Linked DNA regions of Rattus norvegicus. The protein of the gene in region 4 interacts with the protein of the main gene of each other region in a biochemical or structural test. Links are inferred from orthologs where the notes say so. Each region holds a gene or a part of one and is shown on either strand. Other genes may lie near its edges.

What was found.
Region 1: the proteins of Mapt (region 4) and S100b form a complex in vitro, tested with the Homo sapiens proteins (2 studies listed by BioGRID). The link is inferred for Rattus norvegicus from reciprocal best matches to the Homo sapiens genes MAPT and S100B.
Region 2: the proteins of Mapt (region 4) and Src form a complex in vitro, tested with the Homo sapiens proteins (3 studies listed by BioGRID and IntAct, with this or other methods). The link is inferred for Rattus norvegicus from reciprocal best matches to the Homo sapiens genes MAPT and SRC.
Region 3: the proteins of Mapt (region 4) and Hsp90ab1 interact in a biophysical measurement, tested with the Homo sapiens proteins (2 studies listed by IntAct). The link is inferred for Rattus norvegicus from reciprocal best matches to the Homo sapiens genes MAPT and HSP90AB1.
Region 5: of the proteins of Mapt (region 4) and Ppp1ca, one has a biochemical effect on the other in vitro, tested with the Homo sapiens proteins (2 studies listed by BioGRID). The link is inferred for Rattus norvegicus from reciprocal best matches to the Homo sapiens genes MAPT and PPP1CA.
Region 6: of the proteins of Mapt (region 4) and Htra1, one has a biochemical effect on the other in vitro, tested with the Homo sapiens proteins (2 studies listed by BioGRID and IntAct, with this or other methods). The link is inferred for Rattus norvegicus from reciprocal best matches to the Homo sapiens genes MAPT and HTRA1.
Region 7: the proteins of Mapt (region 4) and Apoe form a complex in vitro, tested with the Homo sapiens proteins (2 studies listed by BioGRID, with this or other methods). The link is inferred for Rattus norvegicus from reciprocal best matches to the Homo sapiens genes MAPT and APOE.

The regions. Positions count from the first base shown.
Region 1 is NC_086038.1:12,378,282-12,382,542, reverse strand, and holds the start of S100b (protein S100-B), read left to right. Parts: upstream 1-1,461; 5' UTR 1,462-1,573; exon of another isoform or gene 1,574-2,624; intron 2,625-3,333; exon of another isoform or gene 3,334-3,449; intron 3,450-4,261. UniProt on the Homo sapiens protein: Small zinc- and- and calcium-binding protein that is highly expressed in astrocytes and constitutes one of the most abundant soluble proteins in brain.
Region 2 is NC_086021.1:166,543,312-166,547,487, forward strand, and holds the start of Src (proto-oncogene tyrosine-protein kinase Src), read left to right. Parts: upstream 1-1,376; coding exon 1,377-1,626; intron 1,627-2,782; coding exon 2,783-2,882; intron 2,883-3,092; coding exon 3,093-3,110; intron 3,111-4,176. UniProt on the Homo sapiens protein: Non-receptor protein tyrosine kinase which is activated following engagement of many different classes of cellular receptors including immune response receptors, integrins and other adhesion receptors, receptor protein tyrosine kinases, G protein-coupled receptors as well as cytokine receptors.
Region 3 is NC_086027.1:22,929,112-22,933,222, forward strand, and holds the start of Hsp90ab1 (heat shock protein HSP 90-beta), read left to right. Parts: upstream 1-1,311; 5' UTR 1,312-1,356; intron 1,357-2,581; coding exon 2,582-2,728; intron 2,729-2,901; coding exon 2,902-3,108; intron 3,109-3,321; coding exon 3,322-3,481; intron 3,482-3,750; coding exon 3,751-4,111. UniProt on the Homo sapiens protein: Molecular chaperone that promotes the maturation, structural maintenance and proper regulation of specific target proteins involved for instance in cell cycle control and signal transduction. Undergoes a functional cycle linked to its ATPase activity.
Region 4 is NC_086028.1:89,729,125-89,732,624, forward strand, and holds part of Mapt (microtubule-associated protein tau), read left to right. Parts: intron 1-2,888; coding exon 2,889-3,104; 3' UTR 3,105-3,500. UniProt on the Homo sapiens protein: Promotes microtubule assembly and stability, and might be involved in the establishment and maintenance of neuronal polarity.
Region 5 is NC_086019.1:210,913,371-210,917,375, forward strand, and holds the start of Ppp1ca (serine/threonine-protein phosphatase PP1-alpha catalytic subunit), read left to right. Parts: upstream 1-1,205; 5' UTR 1,206-1,273; coding exon 1,274-1,328; intron 1,329-1,786; coding exon 1,787-1,918; intron 1,919-2,050; coding exon 2,051-2,281; intron 2,282-2,785; coding exon 2,786-2,890; intron 2,891-3,841; coding exon 3,842-4,005. UniProt on the Homo sapiens protein: Protein phosphatase that associates with over 200 regulatory proteins to form highly specific holoenzymes which dephosphorylate hundreds of biological targets.
Region 6 is NC_086019.1:194,952,069-194,955,568, forward strand, and holds part of Htra1 (serine protease HTRA1 precursor), read left to right. Parts: intron 1-417; coding exon 418-517; intron 518-880; coding exon 881-1,085; intron 1,086-3,500. UniProt on the Homo sapiens protein: Serine protease with a variety of targets, including extracellular matrix proteins such as fibronectin. HTRA1-generated fibronectin fragments further induce synovial cells to up-regulate MMP1 and MMP3 production.
Region 7 is NC_086019.1:88,481,900-88,486,192, reverse strand, and holds the start of Apoe (apolipoprotein E precursor), read left to right. Parts: upstream 1-1,493; 5' UTR 1,494-1,566; exon of another isoform or gene 1,567-1,606; intron 1,607-1,672; exon of another isoform or gene 1,673-1,727; intron 1,728-2,322; exon of another isoform or gene 2,323-2,341; 5' UTR 2,342-2,364; coding exon 2,365-2,407; intron 2,408-2,900; coding exon 2,901-3,069; intron 3,070-3,467; coding exon 3,468-4,194; 3' UTR 4,195-4,293. UniProt on the Homo sapiens protein: APOE is an apolipoprotein, a protein associating with lipid particles, that mainly functions in lipoprotein-mediated lipid transport between organs via the plasma and interstitial fluids.

The DNA.
Region 1 (4,261 bases), on a different chromosome or scaffold from region 4:
GGAGCGGCAGAGATCTCTCCTACTCTCACTGGGGTGTAGGGATTGCTTTCACATCTCTGACTTTGGATCTTCCACTGCCATACCTCGGCGGCCCGTCTTGCTCTCCAACTGTCACTTCACTTTCTTGAGTGTGCCTTCTTTCCAGGATGTAGAACTCTTTGTCCACTCCATAGGACTCCTGTAACATTTGTGGGGGCTTGTCTGGGATCTGAAGATCAACACACACATACACACACACTCACGCACGCACGCATGCACACACGTGTGTATGTTCATGCACTCGGGTTTGAAGATCTCTACTTAAAGTCAGTGTAACTGACTGAAGACAGCTAGGGAGGGGTCAGAGAAGCCTCGATCATCCGGTACCCCAAGCGACATCACAAAGTAAGGGTCTCTTCCCAGCCATGATTATCATAACCGTCTCCCCCAGTCAGCTCCCTTTTATTGTCTATTGATGACTAAGAAGATTAGGGGACCTAATCTTTGGGGACCAGTGGCTTTGATCTCCTATAGATAAATGGTGAGTCGAACCAGAGCAGGGGTTTATACCTCCACCCCAAAGCTAACCTTTCCTCAAGAAAAGGTTACATTCCAGGGCAGGAAAACTTCATTCTACCTCTAGCATGTCGAGTCAACTTCTTGGTCTCTGTGATATTTGGGTGACTTTTGTCATGTAGCTCTTCCCACAGACACTCCGGACTCGAGGTGCAAAGGGACGTGTGTGACTAAGCTATCCTCCACTGGGGAGTCTTCTGGGTTAGTTTTGTGCCTTTGTGACAAGAGGCACAGCGTTTCTTCCCTATGTGAAAAGAGCACAGGACGGGCCATCTCTAAAGCATTTCTGGTGCAGACAGCTCAACCTTTGACCAGGGTGAGAAGGGAGAGAGGCCTAAGACACAGCTGGCGTGTCTTTCCCTCTGTGCAAAAGTACTAAGTTAGAAAGAAACTTACCGCACCCTGGTCCCTGAGAAGACTGGGTTCAAAGAGGAGTCTGGGGGTAACCACTGCCCAGCATCACCAGCCACAGCATGGCATACCTGTAGGAGGGGACCAGAAAGCTGGCAGGCAGGCAAGATGCTCAAGAGGCCTCCTTGGAAGCCAGCCATAGCCACACAGCCTCCAGCACTCAGCACCAGAAGTTTCCAGTTCTTGGCTGCGTATCTGCTGTTTGAATCAATTCACCCACGCTGTCTCTCCCCTCTTCCCACCAGCCCCCCAATCTTGCCTCTGGAACAGCATCAATATTCATATCCTAAATTTAAACGGCACAGAGAAGCTGACTCCACATTTCCTGCCCAACAGACCCATATTCTTTCTAGATCAGATCCAATTGTGGCTGCCCAGTGGGTCCCCAGGGTACCACTCAATGGGGCCCTGTATGCAGGCCCGGTGGTTGTCCAGCTCCTCCCTAACCTTGGCCCCTATTGGCAGTCGCAGTCTCAGCCTGCAGCGGACTGCGCCAAGTCCACACCCAGTCCTCTCTGGAGGAAGAAAAAGGAGCTTCTCTGTCTACCCTCCTAGTCCTCGGACACCGAAGCCAGAGAGGACTCCGGCGGCAAAAGGTGACCAGGAGGTGAGAAAGAGTCACTGGCAGGACCCAAGAAAAACCGCTTCTTTCTCTCTTTGCAGGGTGAGGGGGTGAAGGGGATAGGATGGGAATTGAGCTTTGAAACTTTTTAGAAAACCTTTGGGGACGTTTGGCTGCATTCCAAGGCTTCCGATGAGGCCGCCTTTCTTGTTTCCTTGTGACAGTTGTTGACATCTGTGCTGCCATGGAATTGTGTCTGTCCCTGTTTTCGTGAAGCCAGAGATCCCTTGGGTCATTTTTTCAAGATTCAGAATGACTACTGATGTTTTCAGAGATGGCATCTAGGGCTTCTTCTCTACGTCCTAAGGGAAGGATTTTCTTTCTTGGAATAGAGTCACCCCAAATCCCCAACCACAGCGCTCCCTTTCTCCTGGTAGCTTTTCCCGGGGGTCCCTGGAGCACCCAGGTGAGCTTTTCCAGTTTCCCTCTTTGAAATGCCAAGAACTACATCTCCAGACACCGCTCAAAAAAAAAAATTGCAAAGTAGTTGAATCTTTTCAGATCATTATGAATTGGGGCAGAGAAATGAGGGTTTGGGAGTGGCCCTGACTTCTCTGTTACCCCTCCTGGGGAGGGGCAGTCTTTGTGGGGAACCCCTCCCCGGACAGGCAGTACCATTCCAAGAAGCTCAAGCCCTGTGTTTTCTTTATAAAGTCTCCTCCATTTGTCTTAGGAGACAGACAACTAACTTCTTTAGTTGAAAGAATAGGGGAAAATTTGGAATGTCTAATGTAGTCGTGAGAAAACTCAAATTTTACGGACTTTCCTAGCACATGGGATGTGGTGTGACACCGTTTGTTCTTAAGCCTTAGTCCTTATCCACAAAAAGATCATTTAGCCTTTCCCTCCCCCAGCCGTTAGGACTTTGAGCAATATCAGTATGATGCAGAGTTTCTGGAGACTTTTTTTTTTTAAATCAATAACTGTGCTGGGTACGAGCCAACCCTCGGGAGAGTAGAGGCAAGAAGATCATGATTTAGGAGAAAACTTGGGGACAGTGAGACCTCGTGTCAATCTGAAAAGGAAAAACAGGCAGGTAATTCTGCGCCTGGCTTCTCCTCCCCTCCCCTCCTCTCCCCTCCCCTCCCCTCCCCTCCTCTCCCCTCCCCTCCCTTCCCCTCTTTTCCCCTCCCTTCCCCACCACTCTTTTCATGCCACTAAATGTTTCATAAAAAAACCAAACAAAGAAAAACAGTAACCAGGGGCGTTGGGGATTTAGCTCAGTGGTAGAGCGCTTGCCTAGCACTTTGCCAGCTCCGAAAAAAAGAAAAAAAAGAAAAGAGGAAAAAAAAAAAAAAAAGGTAACCAGGGCTGGAGAGATGGCTCAGCCCAGCATCCACACTGGCAGCTCACAACTGCCTGTCACTCCAGTTCCAGGGGATCTGACACTCTCCCAGCCTCTCTGTGGGCACCATGCATGCTCACACATACCAGCCTGCAAAACACCCAGACACACACGCGTTTCTTTTCTTCTTCTTCTTCTTCTTCTTCTTCTTCTTCTTCTTCTTCTTCTTCTTCTTCTTCTTCTTCTTCTTCTTCTTTTCTTCTTCTTCTTCTTTTTCTTTTTTCTTTTTTCTTTTTTTCGGAGCTGGGGACCGAACCCAGGGCCTTGCTCTTGCTAGGCAAGCACTCTACCACTGAGCTAAATCCCCAACCCCACGAGTTTCTTTTTAGCTAAAAGACCAACAAGAACGGAAAACACAAGTTAAGAAACCAAGAGAGAGCATCACCTCTTATCCCTTCAGGTTCTATTTATGGGAGGTACTTCAGGTATCTGGAAAAGACGAGCAAACTGAGGAACCAGAGGGTCAACAAAGGCCAAAAACCTTCCTTTCTCTTGCTGAGATCGTTCATAAAAAATGTAAGAAGTTACTAAAATCTAATATGTTCATCATGGAAATGACTTTTGAGTGTCTTTTGTTTGTTTACTTATGACGGTGCAGATTCTGGCTTAAGGATCAGAACTCAAGGCCAGGAGCTGTCTCTGCCTAAGTAGCTGGTCTCTGAAATGAGCCCAAGGCCGCCTCTCTCTCAGAGAGTTGAGCAGCCATCCCCGATTCCCCAGGCTGTGGCTGCTGCATCAGGTGCTCTCTTGAAGGCTGTTTGCTTCTCGCAGGCACGCATGCCTGTTCACAAAGAAGCTGCTGTACTCTGAGGCCAGGCTAATGAGTAAGCACAGAACGCTGGGCTGTGCCTTGGTCTCCCTTTGTCAGCATGCCAGGAGAATCATATGACCTTGGAGTCCGTGTTGCTGCAAGGTCGCTTCACTGTTACTTTTCAAAACAGTTGGTACAGGGATACCTTTAATCCGGATGAATTTTACAGTCTACTTTTTTTTTTTTTTTTTTTTTTGGAGCTGGGGACCGAACCCAGGGCCTTGTGCTTGCTAGGCAAGCGCCCTACCACTGAGCTAAATCCCCAACCCCTCAGTCTATTTTTTTTGTTTGCCCCCACCTCATCCAAAAAAAACCTCATGTTTTTATTTAAAATCTTAAACGGATATATTAATTCATATGAAAATGAGCTTTGTTAGGTCTTTTTTTAAAGGTATTTATTTATTTTATGTATGTGAGTACACTGTCACTGTCTTCAGACACACCAGAAGAGGGCATCTGATCCCATTACAGATGGTTGTGAGCCACCAAGTGGTTGCTGGGAATTGAACTTAGGACC
Region 2 (4,176 bases), on a different chromosome or scaffold from region 4:
GGGTTGAGCATGGATGTGGAGGCTAGCAGGCATTGGGTGCCATGAAGCCTTCTGCTTGGTCCCTCTGTGTCGAGGTCTCAGGACCTCTCAAACTTTCTCTCCCTTTCATCTTTCATTTGGTTGTTTATTAAGCACCTGCTGTGTACCTCACTCTGTGCGCACCAGGAATTAAAAGGAGAGGGGGTTACATATAGCCAAGGCTGGTACAGTAGTCTGGGGGCTCCTGAAAGGATTTGGAGACCCCCTTCTAAAGGATATGACTTGAAACATTTTTGTTGCTTGCTCTTCCTTCCCTCCCTCCCTCCCTCCTTCCCTCCCTCCCTCCCTCCCTCTCTCCCTTCTTCCTTTCTTCTGTGCGCTTATGGGAAGGCATGTATGTGAACCACGAATGTGTGAAGGTCAGACGTCAGAGGACAGCTTGCAGGACCCTTTCTCCCATCTCTCTCTCCACCATGTGGGTTCTGGGGACTGAACTGAGGTCAGCAGGGTTTATGATAGGTGCCTTTACCTGCTGAGCCATCTCCCCAACCCAGGAAGTGACTTTGAGCTGAGAGTTGAAGTAAACTGATTGGGGAGATGTCTTAGTAAGGGTTATACTGCTGTGAACAGACACCACAACCAAAGCAACTCTCATAAGGACAACATTTAATCATTTAATCGGAGCCGGCTTACATATTCACAGGTTCAGTCCATTATCATCAAGGTGGGAACATGGCAGCATCTAGATAGGCATGGTGCAGGAGAAACTGAGAGTTCTACATCTTCATCTGAAGGCTGCTGGCGGAATACTGGCTTCCAGGCACCTAGGATGAGGGTCTTATAGCCCACACCCACAGTAACACACCTACTCCAACAGGGCCACACTTTCTAATAGTGCTGATCCCTGGGCCAAGCATATACAAACCATCACAGGAGGGGAAGTTGTCAGGGAATTTGCAAAGGTCTTGTGGCTGGAAGGCCTGGCCATCTCCTCTTCAAGCCACTATACTGCTGCTTCAATTAACACTTTTAACACCTTTCCCCCAGTGTTAGACAACTTGTCAGACATGTATTCATTCAGCAAAACTTAAATGAGTCCCTCCTATGTGCTGGGGACACAGATATGACTCGTGTCCCTGCCTATGAAAGACTAAAGCTGACTTTGGGTCCTGCTGGACCCAGGGCTTTGGACTGGTATATATGTCTTCTATCTGTAGCTGTGTCCTAAGGCGCCAACATCTCATTTTACAGGTGAAACTGTGAGACGAACTCTCCCAGGGTGGCAGGGTCCCCTTCTCAGGACCTTAGTCTGCCTATCTGTTTAGTGGGTAGGGTGTCTTGTCTGTTCCCAGATCTCTCCTCTACCTGGGGGATTTCTGTCGCCCCCAGCCAGGACCATGGGCAGCAACAAGAGCAAGCCCAAGGACGCCAGCCAGAGGCGCCGCAGCCTGGAGCCCGCGGAGAACGTGCATGGGGCAGGTGGCGCCTTCCCTGCCTCACAGACACCAAGCAAGCCTGCCTCCGCCGATGGCCACCGCGGGCCCAATGCCGCCTTTGTGCCCCCCGCGGCCGCCGAGCCCAAGCTCTTCGGAGGCTTCAACTCCTCGGACACTGTCACCTCCCCACAAAGGGCGGGGCCTCTGGCAGGTAGGCCCTCCTCCTTGCTGAGTGTCCCAGAGCTGTGGTGCACCCTTTCTGGGTTCTGGGGACTTGGTTTTCCAGAGGCTGCGAATGGAGAAGGGCTCGTAAACTGGAAAGCGGGGCTCCTGCCGCTTTGGGGATGCCAGATTCAGAGTATAACGGGTTCCGAAGGAGAGGGTTGTAGGGGACCCCGAGACCCGGAGGAGAAGGACCACCATGGACTAGCTGCCACCTCCCGCCCAGCCTTTGTTCCTGGCTCTGTTGTGTGGTGGCCCGAGTGCGCCCCTGCGCCCTCTGCTGGCGCTGCGTGGTGCGGCAACCCTGCCGCCCAGGGGCTGAGCAGGGTGACTCATGCTCCTGCATACATGGCTACACCCACACGAGCAAATCCCACGCTCTGACGGAGCCATACTCACGGCTGCACACCCGTGCGTGCAAATCCCGCACTCGGACTCAGCCACACGCACGGCTGCACACCCACTCGTTCAGATCCCACCCAGACTCAGCCATGCTATGTGCCCACATTGGGCATGTCCTCGCACTGAGTGGAGACGACAACAACAACAAAAGGCCCCCAGTGTTCCTAGAGACACACCTAGGCTAGACGCCTGCAGTGCGGAGCACACACAGACACAGGTGTGCATACAACCTCGCCCCCTCAGGTGGGCCTGTGCGCCTGCTTGCACGCAGAAAGCAGACATGGGCTAAGGTTCCCAGCCCCACATCCCACCACAGACCCTTGGACAGGCTGCCCACTCCCTGCCATGCAGCCACACACCCATTCGACCATTTGAGAGGCGTTTGTGGAGCCTTGGGCAACGGAGGGTGGGCTGCAGGAGTCCAAGGAGCAGCCGTGGGTGAGGGGAGAATCAGGAGAAGAGTCCTGAAGCTTTGCACCAAAGCCTTAAGTTGCCAGGCACACATATAGGCGGGGCTTAGGGCACCTATTGTGTGCTGGGTCTGAGTGCAGAGCAAGGGAACCTGTTCTCTGGGGCTTCTGCTTGTGTCAGTAGACATATCAGATAAGGAGCACCTAGTCTGCAGCCCGGCAGGGAGGCACAGGCTACTTAGCTCCCTCTCAGGGACAGGCTGGTGAGTGAGAAAGGCAGCCTCCCACGCCCACCCCCTGCAGGGTTCTGACACCTCCCATCCCACTCTGCAGGTGGGGTGACTACCTTTGTGGCCCTCTATGACTATGAGTCACGGACAGAGACTGACCTGTCCTTCAAGAAAGGGGAGCGGCTGCAGATTGTCAATAACACGTGAGTGGATGGACGGGGACTGCACTGGGAGCGTGGGTCCATCTATACCCAGAGCTGCCGGCAGAGGGCGGTGCAGAGCCTACAGGGCTGCTTCTGCAGTTGGTGGGTGGTGGTCCTCCCTAGACCCCGACTAGTCTCCTCCCTTGTCCTGGGTCCTGTCTTCGCACCTCAGCCTCTCCTTCTCTCTGCTTCTCTCTCGCTGGCCCTTAGGAGGAAGGTGGATGTCAGGTGTGTACCGAGGCCAGGTAGAGGGGGATGCTTCGCTGAGGCTGGGGACTGCTCTCTGCATGTGCTTCCTCCACTACCCCTGTGTGTCTCCAGCTCTCTCCCTGTCCTTTTAGCTTATCCTGCATCCCACCTGTTTGATCCGACCCTCCATTTTCTCCCCACACCTTCCCGTTAGCTCTCTTCCTCCCTCTTCTGGTGTGTGATTCCATGACTGGGTGCCAGCTACTTGCAGGACCCAGTGTATTCTGGAGGCCAGGGAGGGAGGCAGTGTGGTGGGGAATGGGTTACCCCAGACTAGGCCAGGGGTGGGTAGGAGCAGTCTGGGGTCCCTGCAAGATGACCCTGAGAGAGGGGGCTGTCTCTATCGGACTGCCCATCCAAGGAAGGACAGTAAGCTACTGCAGGTAAGGGTGGGCAGTCTCCCTGGGAGGGGGGCAGCTGATGGTCTGTGCTGGGCTGAGGACCTCTCCCTGGAGCAGGTAAGGCTTGGGGACTTTGATCTGAGCTGTTCTGGAGGGTAGAGAGGATCCGTCAGAGAGTGCTCCCAAGTCCTGGCTAAAGAGGTGGGTTTTCCATTTCCCTATGCGTGTCTCGGTGCTCATACCTCCTGATCCTTGTGCATGCTACTCCGTTTGCCTGAAATATTTCTTCTCCTGTATCCACCTGGTGAACTCCTATTCACCCCTCAAGATCCAGGGTAGGGCTGCCCTCCCTGCAAGCAGGTGCCATGTGCTGTTCTGGCCACTCTCATTCATACCCCTCCATCTTGTTATCACTGGTCTTGGGGGCAGCAGTGACGGGGGAGGGGCTGCTCTAGTTTGTGAACGAGGAAACTGAGGCTCAGAGTCATGAAGGCCCTTGTCAGAGGTCACGTGACTGCCAAGTAGTAAGCCCAGAATGGAGCCTGCTCTCCTTTCTCTGGACTGGCACCTGGGGAGGGGCCTCCTCAGTACCTCCTTCAGTGGCCAGCGCTCCTTCCATCCTCATGGGAAGCCCCTGAGTCCCCATGTCCCCAGCTGTTGATAGAATTGGTGGCCAGGAGGAGAAGCGGTGTGACCCTGGTGCT
Region 3 (4,111 bases), on a different chromosome or scaffold from region 4:
GGCGGGTCACCTCCAGAACCAAAACACTGGTGCAACTTGGTTCTGGCTCCTGGAACCCGGCCAACCTGTGACCAGCATCTTCATGCGGATACCTTAGAGCTCTCGTTAATCTGCAAAGACCGTGACCTCCTCCTCTCTAGGTTCAAAGAGCTGCAGTAGGGAAGAGGGCTAGCTAGAAAAGCGAAACCAGCTTGAGAAACAGCTTGTGCTCGCAAAGGGAAGGCACATGTCCCCGCGCGCCTTGTACGTGGGCGACCCGGGAGGCTGAGGGTTGGGGAGTGTTCTACCCAGTAGCGTTCGGTTTCCCGTCTCTGTTCACAGAAAGGTGTCCGCAGTCACTCACCCCCACAGCCCCCGTGCCCTGTGACCGATCCAGGTCAGCCATCCCTCCCCCCTCTGCGCTCCACACCTCCACAGTAATGTGGGCCTTCCAGGGCCACGAGTCGTACAAACGTAGCCCATGGTACAGAGACTTGGGGAAAATATTTCCCCAGGTTAAGATCGTGGCAGAGAAAAAGAACCAGCCGAAAGGCGATGAAGACACAGCCCCCGCCGCAGCAGGGGAGGTGGAGCCTCGGGGGGAGGGGTTGAGACCGCCGAGACAGGCCTAGAAACTGCTGGAAGAAATCGAAGCACCGCCACTGCTGCTCCTTCCGCCACAGGCCGCCAAAGAGTCCCTGCTAGCCCAGGCCCGCGCCCCTCCCCTCGGAGAAGCTGCTCCCCGCCTGCCGCTTCGCTGTACCGGGGAGGGTGGGGATCAGGGACTCCTTAAAGTTGGACAACGAATTTCTTATCATCCTTTTCTCTCGATGTGCGATTTGTAGGGAACATTCTAGTAAGATCGGGTCTGAAAATGGCAGCCGAATTGGTCACCTCCGTTCTCTTTCAGAAGTCCCTTGAGGACTGGACTCTTGAGGGTGGGAGCGCCTACATCGAATTTTCTGCGCGAGTCCGTGGGGTATTCGCCGCAGATACATCCCCTAATAGCATATGCATGCTCCCTGGCCATCTTGAGGGCTACATGTCCTACTCATGCAGAAATGAGGGTACCAAACGCTATTGAATTGGCCTTGACTCGCAGCCCAGGCCCGGGGTCCCGCTCTTCCCCGCCCCCTCCCCGGTCTGCGAGCATGACGTCAAGGTGGGCGGGCGGTGGCAGGTGCGTGGCTGGCAGCCACTCCTTTAAGGCGGAGGGATCCAAGGGCGGGGCTAGGGCTGTGCTTCGCCTTATATAGGGCGGTCGGGGGCGTTTGGGAGCTCTCTTGAGTCACCCCCGCGCAGCCTAGGCTTGCCGTGCGAGTCGGACGTGGTCCGGGCCCACCCTGCTCTGTACTACTACTCGGCTTTCTCGTCAAGGTAAGGCCGCGCTCTCCTGTACTTGGCGGCTCCGTGGGTCTTCTTCCTGGGGTCTCCGCCAACATCTCATCTGAACTAAAGGCTCCTTGTTGGGCTGGGCGGTCTGCGGGGATAATGTGCCTAGAATGTCTCCAGTGGCTCATGGTGGACCCCGGCGGGCTTGCACCGCGAGGCTCCCCCGGGGCCGGTGGATTCCCCAGAGCGTGAGGTGGGGGTGCGGCCGGGCCAGGTGGTGGGCGGCCGCACGTGGTAGCCGCCGACCCGGGACGCTGCCATGTTTGCCCTCCACTTCCGGGCGCGGCTGCAGGGTCCATAGGGTCCGCGCGGTGGCGGGCTGCTATGTGCATGACTCAGCAAGACGAGGTTGGCCTGGCTACCTCCCCCGGACGCGTTTCCCAACGTGTTTTGTTCTGGGGAGGGGTACAAGGGTTGGCAGGAACGCTTGAACCCACTGCGTTTGTCCCTTTCCAGATCTTTCTGCTGCCCTCCCCGTGGAGTGGGAGGAGAAACGGGGAGGGAGCAGGTACGGGGAGATTCTTAGGTCCCTCCCTTACTCCTCCCCTCCCGGGAGCTCAGATTGTTCTGGAAGCCTCGGGCGCCCCGCCCCAGTGCCCGGATGCTGGGGCGGTGGGAGGGCTACAGTGGCGCCCCCTCCCCGTGAGTCTCCTGGCGACGCATGTCCGGGTCGCCGGACGGCTGGGCCACCATTTTACTTGTGTTTGGGCCTATGCAAGTCTGCACAGTTCAGCGTTCATGGTGGAGCTTTTTACCTCTTTGTCCTGATTTAATTGCCCTTTGAGTCCTTCCAGAACTATAGCTTCGGGTTTTCTTGCCCTGCCGAGGGGAAGAGCACAAATCCGTTTACGGGAGGCTGCTCTTTCTGTTAAAGTTGATACTTAACCCCAGTGAAGAATGAAGAAGAAATTGGGGATCTTATTGTATAGTTAACTCAGTCTGGATTTTTACTATATCGGCAGGTGTTCTGTTCTGAGTCAGGGAGCTGAACTCTTAATATGCCGTTCAAAAAGTCTGACATTTGGACATTAGTTTGAAGAGCCATCCTTTGGGTTTTTTTCCATTCTTGATTTGTCTTGCCACTGTAGCTTTAAGGTCTTTCTTTTATTTCTTTCTTTTTTTAAACAAATGGCGGTTCTAGTCTTGGGAATGGGTACTACCCAGATTAAAGAAGTTTGAACTGAACTTTTAATAAGACTTTCATTCTTAGATGCCTGAGGAAGTGCACCATGGAGAGGAAGAGGTGGAGACCTTCGCCTTTCAGGCAGAAATTGCCCAGCTGATGTCCCTCATCATCAACACTTTCTACTCAAACAAAGAGATTTTCCTCCGGGAGTTGATCTCTAATGCTTCTGATGTGAGTGTTCTGTTGAATTTCTAAGACGCCACAGAAGAGTGTGAGTGAGTGAGTGAGTGTGAGAGAGAGAGAGAGAGAGAGAGAAGCAGGGAGTGATTAGAGTAATCCAGCAGTTGATGAGAAGGAACTGTTTGGATAAATGGAATAAGTGGCTGTGTACGTGTACATTACAGGCCCTGGACAAGATTCGGTATGAGAGCCTGACTGACCCTTCCAAGTTGGACAGCGGGAAAGAGCTGAAGATTGACATCATCCCCAACCCTCAGGAACGCACGCTGACTTTGGTGGACACAGGCATTGGCATGACCAAGGCTGACCTCATAAATAACTTGGGAACCATTGCTAAGTCTGGTACAAAGGCGTTCATGGAGGCTCTCCAGGTGCGTGTGTGGCCTTCCACCCATGCCATTCTCAATTTGTTACTGCTTCTGGCTTGCTAATTTAAAACTTGTCAGACTAGGATGTGTGGTCTGTCTTTCTAATAAGTACTTGTGGCCTAGATTCTGGAAGTTGAACTGATTACTACACTTGCTCAGCAAGCGGTTGTGCTTGTACAAGAACAGTTTTGCTCACTCTCTTACAACCCTTTGCAGGCTGGTGCAGACATCTCCATGATTGGGCAGTTTGGTGTCGGCTTCTACTCTGCCTACCTGGTGGCAGAGAAAGTGGTTGTGATCACGAAGCACAACGATGATGAGCAGTATGCCTGGGAGTCTTCTGCTGGTGGATCCTTCACTGTCCGTGCAGACCACGGTGAGATGGCAGTCTACGTTGGGTTGGTAGAATTCTCTGGGGGAAAGCCAGAAAGAAGCAGCCTTAATAGTTACTGTACTCTATAAAAGTACATTTTTGAGGGGTGAATGGCAGCACTTGGGACATGGCATACACGGGTGGTGGGTGAGTTGAGGCAAGCCAGGGCTGTGCAGAAACAGATCGCTTGAGAAACCAGGAACAAAAAAGAGGTGTACCTGTTTGTTGAGTATTTTAGTTGCAGTTTTTCATGTCTGGTTCACTCTCTGTAGGTGAGCCCATTGGCCGGGGTACCAAAGTGATCCTTCACCTCAAAGAAGACCAGACAGAGTACTTAGAGGAGAGGAGGGTCAAGGAGGTGGTGAAGAAACACTCACAGTTCATAGGCTACCCCATCACCCTCTATCTGGAGAAGGAACGCGAGAAGGAGATCAGTGATGATGAGGCAGAGGAAGAGAAAGGGGAGAAGGAGGAGGAAGATAAGGAGGATGAGGAGAAGCCTAAGATTGAGGATGTGGGATCTGATGAGGAGGATGACAGCGGCAAAGATAAGAAAAAGAAAACAAAGAAGATCAAGGAGAAGTACATTGACCAGGAAGAGCTGAATAAGACGAAGCCCATCTGGACCAGAAA
Region 4 (3,500 bases):
ATTGTTCCCCACCTATGTTCTGTGTGTGTGTGTGTGTGTGTGTGTGTGTGTGTGTGTGCGCGCGCGCATGTGTGTGCGTGTGTGTGTGTGCACATGTGTGTGTTACATGCACATGAGCATACAGGTGAGCACAGCCATGCACGATGTGCAGAGTCCAGAGCAGAACATCAGGTGTCTCCCCTTTCACTCTTGAGACAGGGTCTCTCACTGAACCGGAAGCTTGCTGGTTCACTGAGCTTGCTAGGCTGGCTCGGTGAACTCCTGGGATATATCTGGTTGCACCCCTCAATGTGGGGGTTACAGGCTAGCATGCACACCATGCTCTGCTTTTTTAACTTAGGCGCCAAGGAACTCAGGCCTTGGTGCTGGCAGAGCAAACTTTTGCAAGCACTCCTACCCACCGAGCCATCTCCCCAGCCCCGGCTTGTTTTTTTTGAAGCAAGATATTACTATTAATCCCAGGCTGGCCAGGAACCAGCTGTCCCTCAGTCTCTCAATTGCTGGGATGACAGGTGTGTGCCAGCCATAATATTTTGCTATTCCAGAGTGCTTCTACATGCCAGTGGCTGTACCTTTGCAGCGCCCACCTCAGGATCTACCTACTCCCTGTTGATGCCTGTGGAGGCTCTTCCATTTTTCTCAAGTTACAAATAATGCTGAGTATGAATAACCTTGAGTGACCTCACACATTTTACATGTTGTGTTTAAGTGTATCCTACAAATGTAATGTCTGTCTGTCTGTCTGTCTATTTGTCTGTCTATCTATCTGTGCTGGGGATAGAACCCATAGCCTCAAGCATGCTAAGCACATGCTCTACTGTAAATGTACTTTTCATTGGCTTGATGTAATTGTTATCTTGGAGGCTTATTGTGTCAGTCTGCTAAACTAAGCCTAGTCCCAGACGCTTCCAGTCTCTGTACAATGTAATCTAGGCCTAGAGTGTTTTCAGCCTCTGAGACTTACTGCTGCATAGGCTCACCCTTTCTTGTTCTTTCTGAACTCTGGTTGGCTGGCTCAAACCTACTCTCCTAGCTGACTGATTCAAACTGACGTCTTTCTGCTTCTCACTGAATTGCTTTGCCTGGCCTCTAACTCTGGCAGTCTATTTTAATCTTCTGGCTCCTTTTTTTCTCTGGCTTGTTTTGCCTTCACCTGTGTCTAGTTGGTTCTCTCTTCAACCTGTCTCTATAAAACTCTCCTGGTAAAATTGCCTCCTCCCTCTCTCTTCCCCTGCTCTCACAAGTTGCCTCTCTTTCCTCTCTGTTCTTGTGAGAGTTAGGCATATCCTATCTCTGACTCATTCTGTCAAATCTTCCTCTGCTTCGTCACTTTGTCTGTCCCTCAATTGGACATCACTTTCAAACATGTCTGCTTCCTTCTACAAACTAACTTTACCTTCATTGTTTGGGATTAGAGGTGTGTACTAAGGGTATGTGTGTATTCCATCTAGATCACACAGAACCTAGAAGGTCTTTGGATATGATCAGAGCAGCCACATTGCTGGATTAAAATTCCTTTATGTTCAGGAAGCAGATCTCCTGGAGTTGAAAGCCAGACTGGTCTACATAGTAATTTCCAAGCAGACCAGAGCTACATACTGATATCCTTCCTCACTGTAGATAAATAGGTATATTAACAAAAATTAATGGACAATAATGAAGCAAGTATCCAGTGTGAAAATCAAAATGCAAAGCCCTATGGATATTGTCCCATATGGGTTAAATATATGTGTTGCCGGGATTTGAACTCAGGACCTCTGGAGGAGCAGTCGGTGCTCTTAACCACTGAGCCAGATCTCCAGCCCTCATATCAGTTTCTATAGGTGTGGAATATTTAAAGAACACAGAAGCAATGGTGACAGTCATTGGGCAGCCAGGTGTGGGATGGACCACGCACAACTATTGCTAATTGGGAAACAAAAACAAGTAGGTGGTGGCTCCTGAGGATGCAACTTAGTTGGTAGAGTGATTTTCTAGCAGGCAGGAAACCCTGGGCTGGACAATACCATTACATACACTAGGTGTGGTGGCACACGCCTGTGACTTCAGCCTTGGGGACAAAGAGGCTGGAAGATCCAAAGTTCGAGGTAATCCTCAGCTGGATAGGGAATTCCAGGCCAGCCTGGGCTATATGAGAGCCTCTTATAAGAATAAGTAAATACAGGGCGTGGTGGTACAGCACTTGGGAGGCAGAGGCAGCCCTGAGTTCAAGGTCAGCCTGGTCTATAAAACAAGTTACAGGGCTGGAGAGATGGCTCAGCGGTTAAGAGCACCTGACTGCTCTTCCAGAGGTCCTGAGTTCAATTCCCAGCAACCACATGGTGGCTCACAACCATCTGTAAAGAGATCCGATGCCCTCTTCTGGTGTATCTGAAGACAGCTACAGTGTACTTATATATAATAAATGAATAAATAAATCTTTAAAAAAAAAAAAAAAACAAGTTACAGGACATCCAGAGCTACACAGAGAAACCCTGTCTTTTTTTCTTTTTTAAGATTTACTTTATTGGGGTTGGGGATTTAGCTCAGTGGTAGAGCGCTTGCCTAGGAAGCGCAAGGCCCTGGGTTCGGTCCCCAGCTCCGAAAAAAAGAACCAAAAAAAAAAAAAAAAAGATTTACTTTATTAATTTTATGTACACCATTGCTGTCTTCAGACACACCAGAAGGGGACCTCGGATCCCATTACAGATTGTGATCCTGAGCCACCATGTGGTTCCTGGGAATTGAACTCAGGACCTTGGCAGGAGTCCTGAGCCATCCATCTCTCCAGCACGAGTAACCCCGTTTTAAAAACAAAAACAAAATGAATGAATGAATGAATGATTTCCTACCCCCACAATCGAATTTCCCCCGGCCTTCTCATTAATCTCACCCTCTACTTCTTGCAGATTGAAACCCACAAGCTGACCTTCAGGGAGAATGCCAAAGCCAAGACAGACCATGGAGCAGAAATCGTGTACAAGTCACCTGTGGTGTCTGGGGACACATCTCCACGGCACCTCAGCAACGTCTCCTCCACGGGCAGCATCGACATGGTGGACTCTCCACAGCTTGCCACGTTAGCCGATGAAGTGTCCGCCTCTTTGGCCAAGCAGGGTTTGTGATCAGGCCCCTGGGGCCGTCACTGATCATGGAGAGAAGAGAGAGTGAGAGTGTGGAAAAAAAAAAAAAAAAAAGAATGACCTGGCCCCTCACCCTCTGCCCTCCCCGCTGCTCCTCATAGACAGGCTGACCAGCTTGTCACCTAACCTGCTTTTGTGGCTCGGGTTTGGCTCGGGACTTCAAAATCAGTGATGGGAAAAAGTAAATTTCATCTTTCCAAATTGATTTGTGGGCTAGTAATAAAATATTTTTAAGGAAGGAAAAAAAAAAAAACACGTAAAACCATGGCCAAACAAAACCCAACATTTCCTTGGCAATTGTTATTGACCCCGCCCCCCCCCTCTGAGTTTTAGAGGGTGAAGGAGGCTTTGGATGGAGGCTGCTTCTGGGGATTGGCT
Region 5 (4,005 bases), on a different chromosome or scaffold from region 4:
CACCTCCTTGCTGCACCTCACCTCCTCCTCTCACTTCCTCCTCAGTCTCAGCTTCAGCAGCCTATTGGGGGCCCCTCCCTGGTGGGGGGACTCCCCCCTTCCTCTATGAGGTTCTTCCTGCTTGCCTTAGTGCCTGAGCCACGGACTCCTCCCATCACGGATGGGAGGTGTGAAGAGTCCCCGACTTGCCCAAGTTGAAGATGACAGGCCACTATCGGTTTTGAGGTTACTTGCGTGTAAAACCAACTCATGGTTCCAGTAATAATTATGCTTTAATGTCGTCCCACCACTCCAACCCACTGTCCTGGGTTTTCTTTTTTGAGAGTGAAAGGGTACAGTCTGGGAACAAGGGTCTCACGTAGCCCAGGCAGGAGATGAACTCACTATGTAGTTGAGCATGACCCTGAACTTCTGATCCTCCTGTGTCCAGACTCCTGAGTGCTGGAATTTCAGGCACTGGAATTACAGGTTTATGATACATTGGGTTCTTTAATGTGTTACTGTTTAAAAATAATACCTTTCCCCCCTTTTCTTTCTTTACTTTCCTTCCAGAGCCGGAGATAAAACCTCAGGCCTTGCACATGCTAGACAAGTCCAAGCATTCTACAAAGGACTTACAACAGGAAGGAGATAAAATAGTATTACATCACTTAACGAAAAAAAAAACCTGACGTAGCAGGCACCAAGGCAACCTGGACCAAAACATTGCTTCGAGTTCAGTAGCAGGTGTTCATGGGTCTGGCCATAAAGACCGAGGTGAATGTGAGGCTCTGGAGGTTTGGAGCTCACTCTCAGTGTCATTGAGCCTTAGTTCCTTTTTCTGCACTTCGAGGAATTACTTTACAGTGTTTGAGAAGTCAGCGATTAACATGCTCACACCACAATCCCACGCAGGGCTGGGGTGGGAAGAGACTTGGAAAGAGAAAAACAATTTCTACAGTACTTCCGGTTCTAACTCATCAGAACGCAGCAGGGCGATTCCTCCTGGGTGGAGCCGACCCAACTCCGCCCTACAAACCCCGCCCTCCACCCCTGCCAGGCCTCGCCCGGCCGCCCGAGGCCCTCCCCGGCTGCAGTGCTTCCGGTCCAGGGGAGGCGCTAGAGAGCAGGGAACTACGGACGCGGCAGGGCGGGGCGGCCGGCCGAAGAGGCGGGGCGGCGGGCCGAGGGCGGGCTGGGGAGGGCGGAAGGAGAGCCAGGCCGGAAGGAGGCTGCAAGAGGGCGGGAGGCAGGAGAGGGCCCGGAGCTGGTGGGCCGGAGCGGCGGCGCCGCCATGTCCGACAGCGAGAAGCTCAACCTGGATTCCATCATCGGGCGCCTGCTGGAAGGTGGGTAGGGGTAGGGAAGGTGCGCGCGCGCCGAGCCTGGGCCCATCGCCGTCCGGAAGTAGAGCGCGGGCGGGCCCGCCGCTCTCGGGGGCTAGCGTCGCTTGGGCGGGGACAGGCCGTGAGGTTCTATGGCCACGGCAGCCCTCCCTACTCCCTGCGCCTAGGCTTTGGAGCGCGCTCCGAGGCCGGGGACGCTTGAGTGGCCGAGACTCAGGGTGAGACTCCTGCGAAGCTAGCTGGGAAGGGGTTCTGAGGCGAGGAAGCTTCGGTTGACAGGCTGCTGAGCACAGGCGTGTCTCTGGAGGGCCTCCGGGTGGCTAAGGGGTCGTATCTTGCCTTTGAAGGCCTGATGCAAAGGTTTCAGCGGGGGCTCCCTTGCAACAGTTGCTGGTGTTGGGGAGGGGCGCATGACATTCGGTCTGCGAGGTCAGGGTCCCAAGACCCTATTCCGTACCCAGTGCAGGGCTCACGGCCTGGAAAGAATGTGCAGCTGACAGAGAACGAGATCCGTGGTCTTTGCCTCAAATCCCGGGAGATTTTCCTGAGCCAGCCTATTCTTCTGGAGCTTGAGGCGCCTCTCAAGATCTGTGGTAAGCCCTTGCTCAGAACCCCTTAGCTTCCTCAAAATAGCCCCTTACTCCTGCCCCAGTACCTGTGTTTCCGTTGCTGGCCCTGGGTTCAAGTTTACATCTTGGACCTACCTAGTCTTCTCTGGTTCCCAGGTGACATCCATGGCCAGTACTATGACCTTCTACGGCTGTTCGAGTATGGTGGCTTCCCTCCAGAGAGCAACTACCTCTTCTTGGGGGACTATGTGGATCGGGGAAAGCAGTCTTTGGAGACCATCTGCTTGTTGCTGGCCTATAAGATCAAATACCCGGAGAATTTCTTTCTACTACGTGGGAACCATGAGTGTGCCAGCATCAACCGCATCTATGGCTTCTATGATGAATGTGAGTGCTTTGAATGTTGCTGGTTGCCCAGAACTACATTTCCTGCACTTCATGGGCCCCCTAAATTGTTCTAGTGCTGAGAACCCTGATGATGGGTCCTGCAAAGCCCCAACCAAGCTGTCTGTTATCCATGGCACCAAGGAAGGGCCTGGTGAATGGATGTACATGCAGGGCTGCCCGTTTGCTAAAGCTTCCTCCACAGCCCTGCCCGATGACACTTCCCTCTATTGCATCCCTTACTAAGCATTTAGGGTGCATGTTATGAATAAACCAGACACTGAGGTTAGGCCAGACTGGAGTTCAGGTTCTTGTGGACCCAGGTGTTGGAATTCTGGAAGGTAGATGAGGGCAGAGCAAGGAAACTGTAATAAGCTTTCTTTGCCTTCTAGTCTTTGCACTTTGTCAGAGTAACCCACAAAGTACCCTGGAGGAGTGCACAGAAAACTATAGACTGGGTTTTGTGTGGTGGGTGGTCTTCCCTACGAGCCATTTTCTTCTGTGCAGGCAAGAGACGATACAACATCAAACTGTGGAAGACTTTCACCGACTGCTTCAACTGCCTGCCCATTGCAGCCATTGTAGATGAGAAGATCTTCTGCTGCCACGGAGGTCAGGATGGTTGTGGGGTCTGTGCTTGGGCTATATCCTTAGGGGCCTTGGAAAGTTAACAGAACTCTCCTGTTTCCTGGAGTAGCTCTCCTTGAATTTGGCTGTCACTTATTACAGGTCACCCACAGCCCAGTTTGTTTTTGAGACAGGGTTTTTCTGTGTTCTGGAACTCACAAGAGTTCTGGTTATCTCTGCCTTCCAAGTGATGGGACTAAAGGCCTGCACCACCTCACCTGGCTACACACCCCAGTTCGACTGCGCTTTCCTGTTGTGGTATTTAGCATGCTATAGGCAACTCATTCATCTCCTTCCCCCACGGAGGTCTACTCTTTTTTTTTTTTTTAAATATTTATTTTATTTATTATATATGAGTACACTGTAGCTGTCTTCAGATACACCAGATCTCTTTATAGATGGTTGTGAGCCACCATGTGGTTGCTGGGAATTGAACTCATGACCTCTGGAAGAGCAGTCGGGTGCTCTTAACCGCTGAGCCATCTCTCCAGCCCGTACTCTTTGTACTTCTAAAAGCTGAGGGATGGCCAGGTGGCGGTGGCATACAAAGGGAGTTCCCTGGGTTGGGGATTTAGCTCAGTGGTAGAGTGCTTGCCTAGCAAGCACAAGGCCCTAGGTTCGGTCCCCAGCTCCGGGAAAAAAAAATGTTAATACATAAAATATCCAATAAAAAAAAAACTGAAAAAACATATTCCTAAAAAAAAAAAAACAAAAACAAAAACAAAAAAAACAAAGGGAGTTCCCAGACAGCCAAGGCCACATAGAGAAATGGGGCCAGCAGGAATATAATGAACTCTGTTTCCCTAAACTTAAGGAGCCCAAAAGATGAACCCAGCGTTGGTGGGGAAAGTGGAGCTGACCCCTGAGACCTTTCTGGGCATGGGATAGTACCTGCTTTTCGGTGTAAGGAACACTATTCTCACTCTACCACCCCAGGCCTGTCTCCAGACTTGCAATCCATGGAGCAGATTAGACGTATTATGCGGCCCACGGACGTGCCTGACCAGGGCCTGTTGTGTGATCTGCTGTGGTCTGACCCTGACAAGGATGTTCAAGGCTGGGGCGAGAATGACCGTGGAGTCTCCTTTACCTTTGGGGCC
Region 6 (3,500 bases), on a different chromosome or scaffold from region 4:
ACTTTTTGGGGGAGCCTGGGGACATGCAGCTGTGATGGGTCACAAGAGGACTGGAAAGGTCCCAGTTCTTACTCATAGCCCAGAGCCTAGGGAGTGATTGTTTCTCTTCCACAGAGAAGCGTGTGTGTGTGTGTGTGTGTGTGTGTGTGTGTGTGTGTGTGTGTGTGTGTATGTGTGTGTGCATATACTTGTTATGCACGATTACATAGATGTGCATATGTGTTCCTATGTTTATGTATGTTCTATACATGTGAGTATACACATGTGTATGTAAGTGCATGTATGTGTATGAGTTTGTGTGTTTGAGTGGGCACACATATATGTAATGTGTTTTTGGCTCCCTCTATCCTATACCTTGTTGCAGGCCCCCTGCACAGGCTCAGTAGCACTAAACTGTCTCATTGCCTTTGTCCCCAGGGCAGGAAGATCCCAACAGTTTGCGTCATAAGTACAACTTTATCGCTGATGTGGTGGAGAAGATCGCCCCTGCTGTGGTTCACATTGAACTTTATCGCAAGTAAAGAGGCCTTCCTTTCCCCTCAGTAATAAATGGCACCAGAGCTGCTTTTGAAGCACATTAAAGTGTCAGGAATGTCACCGGGCAGACTCCTGTACTACACTCAAGTTCTCTGCCTTAGGAAAAGTCCTCTATTTAGACCGACACTCTTGGCCCTTTAAGCGTTTTAATAACTTCTAGCTCTGAAGTGATTCCTAGGGAATATTTCCTAAGTGGAAATATTTTTGGTGCATTCCAAAAAGTAGCTCGGTGTTATTTTTAAGACATCAAACGCTCGCTAGATGTGTGCGAGCTGCGCTTGCGGGGTCATTCACTTGTGTGTGCAAATGAGGCTTGGTCAAGCTCAACCAATGTCTGTTCCAGGCTTCCTTTCTCGAAGAGGGAGGTGCCAGTGGCGAGTGGGTCAGGATTCATTGTGTCGGAGGATGGACTGATTGTGACAAATGCTCACGTGGTGACCAACAAAAACCGGGTCAAGGTTGAGCTGAAGAATGGAGCGACTTATGAAGCCAAAATCAAGGATGTGGATGAAAAGGCCGACATTGCGCTTATCAAGATTGACCACCAGGTGAGATGCTTCTGAGGCCCAAGTGCCTTCTGGGCCTGCAGCACCCAGCTCTCAGAAGGTGAGGTGGAGATGGTGAGGACATCAGCTCCCTGGTACTCGGAGAACGTTCAGCAACAACACAGAAGCTGCAGGACCAGACAGGTCTCATCAAAGAGAGACCTGAGAAAAGGAGGAGGGAGGAAGGAGGAGGGAGCCGGGAGGAGAGAAGCCCTTGGAAGAAACTCACTCTCAGATCAGAGGTTTTTAAAGTAGCATTTTATCTTTATAAAGCAACAAGCTACAAAGAAGTTACTGGGTAGCTGGTGAGAATGGAAACTCTGGTCCTTGAGATGAAACATGTATTACAAAGTTATGTTTCTTTCCACTGAGGTGAACCTGGAGTCTCTGTGGCTAAAGAATGGGCTTTAAATTTTTTAAAAATTATTTTTAATTGTATGTTGTGTTTGTAAGTGGGTGTGTACACAGAGATGTTGGATACCCTTGGCTGGGGTTACAGGGTTATAAACCACTGGACACTGAGTCTCTGCAAAACTAGTATGTCCTCTTAACTACCGAGTCATTTCTCCAGCTCCTTGTTAATGTATGTATGTATGTATGTATGTATGTATGTATGTATGTATGTATGTGTATATATATATATATATATATATATATATATATATATATATATATATATATATGTATGAGTACAATGTAGCTATCTTCAGACACACCAGAAGAAGGTATTGTGTCCCATTACAGATGGTTGTGAGCCACCATGTGATTGCTGGACTTTGAACTCCTGACCTGTGGAAGAGCAGTCAGTGCTCTTAACCACTGAGCCATCTCTCCAGCTCATTAAGCTTTTTATACTCAAGGTTTTGGGAACCTTAAGACGAAATTAACACCTCTTCCTTGAGTCCCTTAGAATCCTTAGTATGATGTCATGGTCATAGTCCCCTTAAAAGGGCTGCCGTGCTCTATCTACCCAAATTATAGCCTTCCATGGTGGGGAACTTAGAATCAGGGCCAGTACAAAACTAAGTCACAGTGAGAGTGAGCTCCATTTGAAAAATGCTTGTATGGAATTGCTTTGTGGGTTATTGGGGTAACTACTTCTAGTCCTATCTGAATTTTATTATTTTATTTACTTTTTGGAGATTGTGAGACAAGGTCTCAAGTTCTAGCTGTCTTAGAACTCACTTTATAGACCAGGCTGGCCTTGACCTCACAGAGGTCCTCCTGGCTTTGCCTCCCAAGTGCTACCACACCCAACAAAAAAATTTATTAAAAGAAAAGAAAGAAAATAATTTTAATTTAATATTCTGTTTATGGTTACTTTTTGCTCAGCAGAGCCTTTATTTTTATTTTTAGGTCTCGAGTAGCACAGGTTGCCTTCATTTATAATCTGTGGATAGCTTTGAACCTTTGACTCCCTTGCCTCTATCTTGTGTATGTGAGGATTATGGGCATGTAGGACCAAGCCGGGCTCACACAGTATTGTGGACCAAACCAGGGCTTTGTGAGAGCTAGCCAAGCACTCTGCCACACCTCCCACACTTGTTTAGCGAGGCCTTCATGCCCGAAACTGAATACAGTTCTTACTGGATCACCAGCAAAAATTCCTAGTCCTCCTCATGGTGATGTGATGTCTGTTTGCACTTCTGGTGAGATTGGAGTTTCTGTTTTCTTCCTGCCATTGGAAATTCCTTCAGAAAGAAGGTAGAAGGGTCAGTGGGAATTTTGTGGTTGGTGCAGAAAAAGACGTGGGTGGGGCGGGTAATGAAGCGTAGCATTTTCTTGTGAAGCTCTAGCTTGCTTCTCATCTGACTGAGCTATGAAGTCAGCTAGGTGTGAAGTCCTACTATGAAAGCTCAGGGTACTGTTGGGCAGTAGGACTCTGGGTCCCTTTATTTCTTTTATAGCGCCAGGCAGCCTTTCAGAACCCCTTTCACACCCAGCTTGTTCCCTTACCTTCTCAGAGGCTGGGGTGGTGAGGGCTGGGGCTGAAGTTTGCAGGAACAGGCTCTGGGCCCATGTAGGTGACTGACTTTAGTGTGATCACAAATGTGTGTTATTTCTGCTAAGTTGCTGTGAAATTTCTACCAACAGCTCATCTTTCTAAATGTGTTTATTGGTACCAAAACAGTTGGTCCAGGCTCTGACTTCACATCTAACCGTTCTCTAATACACAGAATAGCTGTGTTATTCCCATTTTATAAGAGAAGAAAGAATGCTCAGAGACCACTTCTCTATCTTTTCACCCCTAGCTTCCTGGGAGCCAGGCTGCAGATTCCAGGCACCCAACTCCACTGCACAGGCCCAGAGCCTGGCCTTCACAGGGATGGACTAGCATGACCTTAAATAGCCCATGGAAAGGTTGGCGTGTCCCCATTTGGGAATGCTGCGAGCAAGGTGTCTAGAGTCTGGTGGTAG
Region 7 (4,293 bases), on a different chromosome or scaffold from region 4:
GGTCACTAAAGTGCTTTTCCGTGGAGCTGCATTCCAGCCCCAGCTCTGATGTGTGTGTGGTCACATCTTCAAATTGGGCCTGCATGCCACCACTGCTCCTCCTGGCACCCCACTGGAGGAGAAGACTCAAGATGAACTGGTCAATGACCCTCTAGACCGCAACACTGAAACCCTTTTTACTGCCATCTGGAGATGGAAGCTGGCCCTTAGTAACCCATGAAAATCATCTCACCACACCCACTCCTTGTCAGTGTTTTAAGCCAAAACTAACAGGCCTGGGCCCGGCACCCTGTACCCTTGGAACCAGGTGTTCCACCTCTTCCCATCCTGCGGAGTCATGTGTTGCCATATCTGCTGCCAAGCCTTGTTAGGAGGCTTCTCCTACTGCCACCCTCTGAGCAACAGCTGGGAATGGGAACCCCTGTGCAGGCGGCACTTCAGCAAGCATCCGAGTGGTGTGTGAGCCCTTGGCCCTACCTGACAGCCCGGTAACAGCAGCCTTGCCATGTGCTAGCCTGGGCTCTGTTCTATTACCTGAGCTCAGGGGATCCTCCTGCCTCAGCTCTGCAAGTGACTAGGACTAGAGGCACATGTCCCCATAAATAGCTGTTCTTCTGGCTTGTCTCTTAAGTGTGTTGGGTGTTTTGCCGGCATGTATGTCCCTGTAGGGCTGTCAAATCTGGGTGTTGAGTTGCGAATGCTGTGATTTAAATCTGGGTCCTGTGGAAATGCAGTCAGTGCTCTTAACCTCTGAGCCATCTCTCCAGCCCCTACACTTCTTTCATGAAGAAAAGGAAAAGTGCTTGGAAAAGGCAAATGCATGTGCCGAGGGGCACACCTGCAACCCCAGCATGCCACAGCAGAGGCAAAAGGACCTTTGTGACTTTAAGGGCAGCCCGAGGATCCGATCGCAAAACAACTTGAAAGTTGTGCTCAGTAGGGGTGGGGATAGCTCCCCCTCCCAAGATTATACATCCGGCAACCGCCAGAAACAGGACAGTAGCATCAACACTTGGGTTCCCAGGGCTTGACAATGTATGGCTTCAAATCCATTGGGAGCCACCACTGAACAGCTCCTGAAGGAAAGGAGCATGTCCCCAGCCCGGGGATGGGGAGAGTTCACCCGTGGCAGAGGAATCAACAAAGAGGGGCCAGGGCTAAAACTCAGTTTTCATCCCAGAAGCTGAGCCTCTTAACAGATAGAGCCCCCCACCTATTTCCATTTAAGCCTCCAGCCCTTTTCCGTACAACGAATGCACCAGACCCCGCGGGAAAGGGGAGAAGCAGTACTCAGTGCCCCAGCACCAAGGCCTGGATTATTCAATGAGGAGTCAGCTCCTTTTTGGGGGGGGGGGGGGGTCACAAGGCATCAAAACTCCACCTCTTTCCTCTGCCCTGCTGTGAAGGGGGGGGGGGAGAGCAACCCGCCTCGTGACAGGGGGTTGGCCCAGCCCGCCCTAGCCCTGAGGAGGGGGCGGGGCAGGGGGAGTCCTATAATTGGACAGGTCTGGGATCCGGTCCCCTGCTCAGACCCCGGAGGCTAAGGAGTTGTTTCGGAAGGAGCTGGTAAGACAAGCTTGGGCTGGCGATTCACCCAGGGGGCTTGGTAAGACGTGGGCAGGGGACCTTGAAATCCGCTGGAGTCCAGGAAACAGGCACAATTATTAGAAAAGCAGGAAGCCCGATAGAAGACTTAGGGTGGCGGGGAGACAAACTAAGATCGTGAGGTAACTAGCCTTTGCCGGGGTCAGAACAGATGGAGGAGATGGAGGGGTCATCTCCAGGAGTATGGGACTGTCGGTGCACTGCATACGGGCTCAACTAGAAGGTAGTATCAATCTTTAGCGAAAGGACCCGCGATGAGCCTTAGGTTGCGTTTATATAAATACCTACTGATTTCCATCACAGTCCCCAAAATTACCCTGGGCCAGTTTCAAAGCGAAGATCCTCATGCCTGAGCGTCCGAAGTTCTGGGGTCGCGGGAGGGTACCACTTCGCAGGGATGGAGGACGATTAAAAACTTACATTAGTACTAAACCGAGAGCCCGGCTTAGCAGGGAAGGTAGAAAGGAATGTAAATTGGACCACCGGCTGTCCCTCTGCGTTGTGGAATTTGAACCCTAGGACTGGGAGCTGGAATTTTTGGCAGCGGGTCCACCCCGGGGTGCTGAGATAGAGATAGGAGGGGGAGGTAAATAGACCTTTGGGCAGATGCTCTATTGTGGAGATGTTTGTGATGACTCACAGACCTGAGAAGGGAATTAAGGTGGGGGCTCTTTGGGTGGCCCGAGTTTCTCCACCCCTACCCACTGGTGTTCAAAGACAGCTTTTCCTTCCGCAGACTGGCCAATCACAACTGGGAAGATGAAGGCTCTGTGGGCCCTGCTGTTGGTCCCATTGCTGACAGGTATGGGGCAAGGGGTGGCTTTCCCTGCTGGCAGGTTGGGGTTGGGGCAGTTCTGAGACCTCTGAGATTCAATAGCCCTGAGCAGCTGTTTTACATGCAGGCCTTGTCTTTCCCTATCCATAATATGAGAGGATTGATGCTCAGAGGGTAAAGGTGCTTGTCATAAAGCTCGAAGACTTATCTCGGAGCCCAACATGGTGGAAGGAGAGAGCGGATTCTCTCTAGTTGTCCTCTGACCTCCAAGGGTACACACACAGACACACAATTAAAAAGTTGAAGTGTGTAATTTCTTAGTCGCTTTTAAAGGGGAGGTATACATTTTCTAACCCCATACCAGCCTAGTCTCAGCTCTGTTCTACATAGGATACTAGACAGTGTATGCTTGTAGTATCTAAACAGACTCCACGACTGACTTCCAGACGCACTGTTGCTTCAAAGAGACCCAAGAGCACTGTAGGTCCTGACCCAGCCTTAAACTTACTACTCTACACAGGATGCCTGGCCGAGGGAGAGCTGGAGGTGACAGATCAGCTCCCAGGGCAAAGCGACCAACCCTGGGAGCAGGCCCTGAACCGCTTCTGGGATTACCTGCGCTGGGTGCAGACGCTTTCTGACCAGGTCCAGGAAGAGCTGCAGAGCTCCCAAGTCACACAGGAACTGACGTGAGTGCTCAGCGCTTCACCCTCCGCACCTGCTGAGTATCCAGATCCAGGGGTTCCTCCTATCTGGGCACCTACCTACTTGTTTCCTTTCTCCATGAGTGTGTGGGCCAGGTTGGCCTTGAACTCTCAATACTTCTGCTTTCTTTAGCCTTCTGGATACTGGGATGAACAGGCATTCATTTATGTTCTTGGTCGAATGGCTTTTGGCTTTTTGAGACAGGATCCCAATCTAACTTAAGCTGGCTTCGAAGGCTCTGCAATTCTCCTTCCTCAGCTTCTCAACTTCTGGGAATACAAGCGAGTACCACCGCACCTCGCTCTGTGGTTTCCTCCCACCCTAATTCTGACCTTTTTGTCTCTGCATTCATCTCCCTCTTGTGTTTCCTCTGGGCCTGCAGGGTACTGATGGAGGACACTATGACGGAAGTAAAGGCATACAAAAAGGAGCTGGAGGAACAGCTGGGCCCAGTGGCGGAGGAGACACGGGCCAGGCTGGCTAAAGAGGTGCAGGCGGCACAGGCCCGTCTGGGAGCTGACATGGAGGATCTACGCAACCGACTCGGGCAGTACCGCAACGAGGTAAACACCATGCTGGGCCAGAGCACAGAGGAGCTGCGGTCGCGCCTCTCCACACACCTGCGCAAGATGCGCAAGCGCCTGATGCGGGATGCGGATGATCTGCAGAAGCGCCTGGCGGTGTACAAGGCCGGGGCACAGGAGGGCGCCGAGCGCGGTGTGAGTGCTATCCGTGAGCGCCTGGGGCCACTGGTGGAGCAGGGTCGTCAGCGCACAGCCAACCTAGGCGCTGGCGCCGCCCAGCCCCTGCGCGATCGCGCCCAGGCTTTGAGTGACCGCATCCGAGGGCGGCTGGAGGAAGTGGGCAACCAGGCCCGAGACCGCCTAGAGGAGGTGCGTGAGCAGATGGAGGAGGTGCGCTCCAAGATGGAGGAGCAGACCCAGCAGATACGCCTGCAGGCCGAGATCTTCCAGGCCCGCATCAAGGGCTGGTTCGAGCCGCTAGTGGAAGACATGCAGCGCCAGTGGGCAAACCTAATGGAGAAGATACAGGCCTCTGTGGCTACCAACTCCATTGCCTCCACCACAGTGCCCCTGGAGAATCAATGATCATCCCTCACCTACGCCCTGCCGCAACATCCATGACCAGCCAGGTGGCCCTGTCCCAAGCACCACTCTGGCCCTCTGGTGGCCCTTGCTTAATAAAGA